Arabidopsis thaliana: one gene and its partner. The protein of the gene in region 2 interacts with the protein of the main gene of each other region in a pairwise test. Each region holds a gene or a part of one and is shown on either strand. Other genes may lie near its edges.

Region 1 (4,650 bases), on a different chromosome or scaffold from region 2:
ATTCCTTCTATCATGTAACAATTGTTAATTTTCTCTGTTGCTTTCAGGACATTGTGACAGAAAATACGTTTGAAATAAGTGATATTATTCCGCCCAGTGAAATTGGTGTTACATTCGATGACATTGGGGCACTTGAGAATGTCAAAGACACTTTAAAGGAACTGGTTATGCTTCCTTTTCAATGGCCTGAACTTTTCTGCAAGGGGCAATTAACAAAGGTGGTTGTCTTATCCGCATTTGGTTTTAGGAAATTCCCATATTGTTTCACTATGTCCTGCCTCGAATTGATGACAGATCTGTGAAGGACCTTTTATTTGTGTGTACCAGTATACATGTTCATAAGTTTTGTGAAGTAATGACGATATTAGTAATACTAGCTGATAATTTGGCTTTCCTCAAAAAATTTATCTCCTATAATTTAGATGTTAACGTTATGGATTGGTGGCTTCCTAATCAGTCTGCTCCTGTACTTCTCTACACAGCCTTGTAACGGAATTCTCTTATTTGGACCTTCTGGAACTGGAAAGACCATGCTTGCAAAGGCAGTGGCAACGGAAGCTGGTGCTAACCTCATCAACATGTCAATGTCAAGGGTAACAGAATATCCTTGAAAAGTTGGACTCTACCAATTTATACACGGAATCTCTTGTTCAAACTTGTGTTCTTCTCAATATTGCAGTGGTTTAGTGAGGGTGAGAAATATGTCAAAGCTGTCTTTTCGTTGGCTAGTAAAATTTCCCCAAGCATTATCTTTTTGGACGAGGTAATTCCTCATGGTCAATTCGTGGGCGAATCTTGCTTGTAGTCAGAGCATTGACTGTCTTACAATATTTTACTGTCTTGTAGGTGGAAAGCATGCTACATCGGTACAGGCTGAAGACGAAAAATGAGTTCATAATAAATTGGGACGGTCTGAGGACAAATGAAAAGGAACGTGTTCTGGTTCTTGCAGCCACAAATAGACCTTTTGACCTTGACGAGGCTGTCATTAGAAGGTTGCCTCATAGGTAATTTATATATAGCTTCCTTGTTGGACTAAGCTTTCTGTCAAATTGACATGTCGTAACAAGTTTTTGGTATTGGCTTCTGCAGGTTGATGGTGGGACTACCAGATGCTCGTAGTAGATCAAAGATATTGAAGGTGATACTTTCAAAAGAAGACTTGTCCCCTGATTTCGATATTGATGAGGTTGCTAGTATGACAAATGGATATTCTGGAAACGATCTTAAGGTAAAATTCCTAGTAATTCCTTTTAACCTTTTGCTATGGTCTGACGAAATGATAAGTAATGCTCATATATATCCATGTTACATGCTCTTTTGGTGCGTGCAGAATCTATGTGTTACTGCTGCCCGCCGTCGAATCATAGAGATAGTGGAGAAGGAAAAAAGTGTAAGTAGTCTTTGTGTTAAACCAAGAAAACTAACTTTATGCTGCCTAAAACTAGTCTATAGAATAAAAATATGCTTATGATGAGATATATTATGGTAGGAGCGAGATGCTGCTGTGGCTGAAGGCAGAGTTCCTCCAGCTGGAAGTGGAGGTTCTGATCTCCGAGTTTTAAAAATGGAGGATTTCAGAAACGCACTCGAGCTGGTATGATTTTTGCTTGTGAGCTTTCTTTTCTCAAATCTGTCTCTGGCTCAGAGAACTGTATAACTGTTGTCGATGTTGTTGAATCAGGTGAGTATGAGCATCTCATCAAAGTCTGTCAACATGACAGCGCTTCGACAATGGAACGAAGACTACGGGGAAGGTGGATCCAGAAGGAATGAATCATTCAGCCAGTACGTGTAGGATTGAGTCTACTTCAGAAGCAGAATGTGTTGTATATAATATGTTCACGTGAATAGATAGATAGTCATAAAACAGTATAAACTATAAAGGTATAGTGAGTTCTGACAGAATAACAGGTTTTAGTCGGAGTTTTGATACAAACCTGTCAGGTTCGGTCACTGGTAGTTTCAAATGACTTATATTCTTGTCGTAGTCACATTTCAACAATTTGTTTTAGCTTAAATAGTTAATAACGGTTCACATTTCAACTAAACCAGTCAGGTTCGGTCTCTAGTTCCAAATGTTTTTTCCCTTTTCGATCAATCGGACGATCTTTGCTTTGAAAGCATAGAAACACTTGAAGAAATCAAGAACCGTATCCAAATGAAGCTTCATGTATCTGATGACGACTTTCCCAAGTGGAAGTTGCGTTCATGTGACCATGTCAATGGATGTTGTTTATAATCGCTTCCAGTAAATCGAACGAGTCGACTAAACCGAATTATATTGATCATCCGGTTTGTTTTGATTGAATTTGAGCGACACGCAGTTCAGCTCCAGAACTTGAATTCGGCAAGCAGTAACACCGATGTATAACGGAGGCGAGGCTTCTTCCCACACAGACACAGAGGATATAGGAAACTGCGAAGCGAAAAAGCTTCGTGGCTCTAAAGGTTAGAGCTTTATTCAATTTCTCGAATTGAATCAGATTTAGCACACTGTGAGTTATTTGCATTGTCTTTGTAATGTATTCTCTGATTCTCCATGGAAGAAAGTTGGTCCAGTTGCAGAAATGGCGCCATTTGAGGGTTTCAGTGAATCTTTTTCAAAATGGATCAGCTTTTTCCAATACCTTCTCCTCCTCTGCTATTGCTGCTGATGTGAGCTCAAGAGATGGTCGAAAAGGTCACAACTTTACAGTTTCTTACCTCGTTGATTCATTAGGTTTAGCTACAAAAGTCGCTGAATCGATCTCCATGAAAGTCAGTTTCGATAACAAGGGCAACCCTGATTCTGTTCTGAGTCTTTTGAGAAGTCATGGGTTCACTGATTCTCAGATCTCCAACATCATTAGGACTTTCCCAAGATTGCTTATCCTAGATGCTGAGAAATCCCTTGCTCCCAAGCTTCAGTTTCTGCAGTCCATAGGTGCTTCAAGCTCTGAGCTCACCGAGACTGTTTCTGCAGTTCCGAAAATATTGGGGAAGAGAAAGGGCAAATCTCTCAGCAGATACTATGATTTCGTCAAAGTCATTATAGAAGCGGATAAGAGTTCCAAGTTAGAAAAGTTATGTCATTCTTTGCCAGAGGGTAGTAAGCAGGAGAACAAAATCAGAAATTTATTGGTGTTGAGAGAAATGGGTGTGCCTCAGAGGTTGTTATTCTCATTGCTTATATCCGATGCCGGAGATGTTTGTGGTAAAGAAAAATTTAAAGAATCACTCAAGAAGGCTGTTGAGATTGGTTTTGATCCAACCACCGCAACTTTTGTCAAAGCTCTTAACGTTCTTTACGGATTAAGCGACAAAGGAATTGAAAATAAATTCAATGCCTGTAAAAGGTTAGGCTTGGCTGTGGACGATGTATGGGCAATGTTCAAGAAGTGGCCAAACATTCTGACAAAGTCTGAGAAGAAGATAGAGAACTCCGTTGAAACATTTCTAGGCCTAGGATTCAGCAGAGATGAGTTTTTGATGATGGTCAAGCGATTCCCTCAGTGCATTGGATATTCTACAGAGTTGATGAAGACGAAGACTGAGTTTCTGGTGACGGAGATGAATTGGCCACTAAAGGCTGTGGCTTCAATCCCTCAGGTACTCGGATACAGCCTAGAGAAGAGGACTGTCCCAAGGTGTAATGTTATCAAAGTTCTCATCTCAAAAGGATTGCTCGAAAGTGAACTCCCTCCAATATCCTCTGTTTTGACAAGTACCAGTGAGGTGTTTTTATATATGTATGTTAGGAAACATGATGACAAGCAGCTTGTGGCTGAGTTGATGGCTATCTTCACCGGAGATCGTGTTTCACTCACCGATCAGAAGACACGCCTAGAACAATGAGCAAAGTCAAGGATGGATTTTTTTTTTGTTTTCTGTTAGGTTTAGATTCATTAGTGAATCTTGATGCTTGACTTTTGGAAGTAGAGAATAGATTTTGTGTATGAGTGTCTGAAACCCATTTAGACTTTTGTAATCTTAAGTTGACCCGGATCCAACCCGTTTTCTTCTAATGTGAAATCCGTTTGGGACAATAACCAAGAAACAGCAACACAACTATTTACTACATGACATATGTAGGTTATTGGTAGAACTAGAATAGAGATCTAGAGGTTTTGGATTGTCTGAACACGAATACTTTTAACCCTGAAGGATGATGAATTAGTCTTGTACGAAACAATCTTGAAGGATATTACTCACTCTTCTGGTCCAAGAAATGGACATATAGTATGTGACCTTTAGAGGAAGACACTCTTGTGTGCTCATGTAAAGTCTATGTCGTTGTTACATCTTGTAATAATACTTCTGTTGTTGTTGTGAGACAAAAACAAGTATAGCCAAATAACAACAGTATGTTTATTTTTAGTTCTAAATTAAAACAAAACGAGGGCTTTGCCTAAACCCTAAAGAGCTCATTTTTTAATTTTGCCTCCCTCAATTTGGATAATTGGATCTTTGAGTCTTCTCTAATTCTCTATGGAGAAAAAGGTCACACTTTTAACAATCTATGAGAAGGTGGGTCACTGATTGATGAATGAATTTGCTCTTCTTCCTCGCTCAATCGTAAGTTTAGTAGAAATTTTCAGAGTCTTCTTCTCGAATAGAAACGGATAGTTGGGGTAGAATCGCTTTTACACTTCTGGGATTTGTTGGTTC
Region 2 (3,978 bases):
TTTCGGTGGAACCGCCATGCTTATCACCACTGACCCGAGTAAGTTTCATAACTCAGATTTACCTTAAGATTCAATAGAGAACTGAATTGCAAATTTTAAGACTTTGATTTTTCTTTTGTAGGTTATCAGCATTGCCGTTTTGTTCTGAGTTAGAGATTTGTCAGCCATTGAAGATCTGGAGACTGAGAAACAACGGAAGCAAAGAAGAATGATGATATTAATTTACTAGTTTAAATCAATGGTTTAACTCTTTTATCATTTAGGGTTTAACTTAATTATTGTTTACTTTTAATCCGTCCTTTGGCCCACTTGTCACTATTAATGGGCTTTGTTTTACCGAAACCGAAATGGGCCTTATTTTAGCCCAAATGGAAAAAAATAATCAAAAACTTATATCAGAGCCAGGTTTCGATCCTGGGACCTGTGGGTTATGGGCCCACCACGCTTCCGCTGCGCCACTCTGATTGTTTTGAATGTTTTATATCCAAGTTTTATATAAGCGTTAAATAAACCTTGGGTCGTTTGTTTTTGTTGATGGGCTTTTGGTCTGTCACCAATTGATCTCTGATTAGTATTCTTCGTATTTTTTTTATTTTTGAGAAATTTTCAAAGGACTGTTTCTATTAAGTGACTCTACATTAAAACCGCGTAGAAAAGTTCCCAATCATAAGTTGCATAACGACAGCTTTTAAGATAATCGTTGAAGCGTTTTTTGGCAGTTGAATTGACTAAGTAGACAAAACTGTTATGAGTAACGACGACCCACTTCATAATACAACAACAAACTCGAAGACTTATGACTTACTCCACTTTCTTTCATTCTTTTTTTATCTCCGTCAACGACCCCCAATTGTTATTTAACACATTACTTTACTCTCATTCAGTTTCTTCTGTTTTTTGTTTTTTAACTCAACATTTTTGTGTTTTGGTTGGTGGACTACTGACTAGTGGGCAAGTCTTACACACACAATCCTATGTACATTCTTTTATCAAGTGAGCTTTTATTATTTCTAAAATAAAAGGCGAACCAATCGAATTCGAAGGTAAACAAGTAGTATAGGATAGTGTATGTGACGGTGTTGACGGTGGTGCAACGAAGTGTCACCGTCATGTTAGCCTGAGCTTTAAGTCTCGTAACGACTTTAACTATCCACCGAAAAGTTTCACCATTCTTTTTACGCCACGTGGTCCACCAGAAGAATCCAGCCTTGTTTAGCCAATGAGAGAACGCCAGATAAGCTATATCCCAATGCCACCACATATCACAAATCGGGGAAAAAGATTTATACTCCAGAGTGGCAAAAGCTTCTTCTTCTTTCTAATTTGTTTATTTTAGTACAGCTCCGAAGATATGGCATTCCATTTCAAGAACAATTGTCTGCCTAATTTTAGTTTTTACATTCCTAATTGACGTTATTTTTTAATTTGTTGCAATTGTTATATAAAGTTTGGGTGACTACCAGGAAAAGTGTGATATAGAATCAACTTGGAAGTCATACAAAATTTCGGTTTTTGTTTAACTAAAAACTTTTGAAGAATTCTCGACAATTGGTGGAAACTTCGTCTTCTGACTATTTGAAATTAATGGGTAATTCATATAGTTGATTGGGAAATTTAAGAAAATGCAAGTGGAGAAAATAAAACCATTGAACAAGCACGAAATCTATAAACGGTTAATTAGGAGTGAGTACAAAGTAAAAAATAATAAGTATACTTAGTTAGCACTTAGCAGCCAATGATCAATAACAAAAATTCAGTTATGTGGCATACTTAGCTTAGTAAATAAACTCGTAACTGTGATTTTTTATTTTTTGGTTTCAACCTACTACATATAGTGATTAGTGACGCATAGTGTTGTAATCTTTTTCAATTCAACGTAAAAAATTGAAGATGTTTCTGAACATAGTTCTGGCAGTTACTAACTAAAAACACTGCATTGACTTGGTAAATAGTTACTCTAATAATCCAAAATTAGTGACAACATATTACATCTATATGTCAATATAAAATAAAGGAATTTAATGGATTGAAGAAAGCAAGAGCAGCACCACTTGATCACTCATAGCCCACGTTCCCACTCTCAATCCCAATTCTAAAGATTTCTTACAAGAAATATATATATAAATCAAAACTAACTCTCAAAAACACAAACACAACACAAACACAAGACGTGCTTACAATACACCACACACTTCACTCTTTCTTCATCTTCTTCTTCTTAAATAGCTCGAAATCACATCTCACAGAATTAAATCTTATGGCTCTCGAGACTCTCAATTCTCCAACAGCTACCACCACCGCTCGGCCTCTTCTCCGGTATCGTGAAGAAATGGAGCCTGAGAATCTCGAGCAATGGGCTAAAAGAAAACGAACAAAACGTCAACGTTTTGATCACGGTCATCAGAATCAAGAAACGAACAAGAACCTTCCTTCTGAAGAAGAGTATCTCGCTCTTTGTCTCCTCATGCTCGCTCGTGGCTCCGCCGTACAATCTCCTCCTCTTCCTCCTCTACCGTCACGTGCGTCACCGTCCGATCACCGAGATTACAAGTGTACGGTCTGTGGGAAGTCCTTTTCGTCATACCAAGCCTTAGGTGGACACAAGACGAGTCACCGGAAACCGACGAACACTAGTATCACTTCCGGTAACCAAGAACTGTCTAATAACAGTCACAGTAACAGCGGTTCCGTTGTTATTAACGTTACCGTGAACACTGGTAACGGTGTTAGTCAAAGCGGAAAGATTCACACTTGCTCAATCTGTTTCAAGTCGTTTGCGTCTGGTCAAGCCTTAGGTGGACACAAACGGTGTCACTATGACGGTGGCAACAACGGTAACGGTAACGGAAGTAGCAGCAACAGCGTAGAACTCGTCGCTGGTAGTGACGTCAGCGATGTTGATAATGAGAGATGGTCCGAAGAAAGTGCGATCGGTGGCCACCGTGGATTTGACCTAAACTTACCGGCTGATCAAGTCTCAGTGACGACTTCTTAACGTTGACTGAGTTTGAGGAAAAAGTCAACTATCAAGCGAAGAAAGGGTTAGTGGACGGTGAAGATTAACGGTCGTTTCTTTCCAGTTGCTTCGGTTTGAGCTTGACTGGGTCTGTAATGAAAATGATTGGAGTGGACTTGGCATTATTATTATTATTTTTAAAAAGAAATGTTAATTTGTTGTTGGATTTGTTTATAGATAGAGGAAACAATTGGGATACACAAATATTTTTTTTTTTTACAAAGAAAATAATAATGCAGAGATGGATGATTGGATCGTACACGTTATTATATAGTGGACCATTCTGTAATCGTGAATTATTATTATTTGTTAGAAATTTAATTTTCGTAATCTATACTTCATTTACTTCCGCAAGCAAAGGAAAGCCACTTGAATTCTGTTACTCCACACAGCTCCTAGTGATCTGTTCGTTCACATAAACTATCACACAAAAATAAACAATCAATAAAATATCTGTCATATTTTTTCAGTTAATAACATATTGTCGCAAGTATATATGTGACGTTTCGTAACACAAGGCTTAGTTTGATCGACTAAAAACTGAAAACACTCTGCCTTGTTCATAATGATGTGCAACTGGAAATTTATGTTTAGAGTAAGGATTTTTCATCTAAATGTTGTTTATTTTATCCAAAGTCTAAAATCGTTATCCTAGTTAATAGTTATGTTGAAGACCCTTGTTTGTTCTAGTGGTTTGATCGGGGGCAGTGGTAACGAGCTTCCCGAATCGGGTCCGCTACAATCTTAATATTCAAATGTAGGCCCATTAATAATATGAGTTATAAACCAGCCAGCTTTATAAGCCCATGTATTTATTTATTCGGCTTTTTCTTTAACGGCCCAATAGTGCAAAGCAGAAATGCATGTTTCGATGTTTAAGTGATAGAGTATATTTTAAATGACAAGGAGAAAATAAAATAAGGTAAACTTGTTGTAGAGGGATTTAAAGTTTAAACTACAAC

Evidence for each region.
Region 1: the proteins of ZF1 (region 2) and AT1G62120 interact in a two-hybrid assay, tested with the Arabidopsis thaliana proteins (one large-scale study listed by BioGRID).

The regions. Positions count from the first base shown.
Region 1 is NC_003070.9:22,959,513-22,964,162, reverse strand, and holds AT1G62120 (Mitochondrial transcription termination factor family protein), read left to right. Parts: upstream 1-2,059; 5' UTR 2,060-2,523; coding exon 2,524-3,837; 3' UTR 3,838-4,024; downstream 4,025-4,650. Other genes in the region: AT1G62130 (AAA-type ATPase family protein), read left to right, coding at 48-218, 483-593, 680-763, 847-1,007, 1,093-1,231, 1,334-1,393, 1,493-1,597, 1,685-1,798.
Region 2 is NC_003076.8:26,918,159-26,922,136, reverse strand, and holds ZF1 (zinc-finger protein 1), read left to right. Parts: upstream 1-1,957; 5' UTR 1,958-2,257; coding exon 2,258-2,995; 3' UTR 2,996-3,372; downstream 3,373-3,978. Other genes in the region: AT5G67460 (O-Glycosyl hydrolases family 17 protein), read left to right, coding at 1-38, 122-153. UniProt on the Arabidopsis thaliana protein: Transcriptional repressor involved in the inhibition of plant growth under abiotic stress conditions.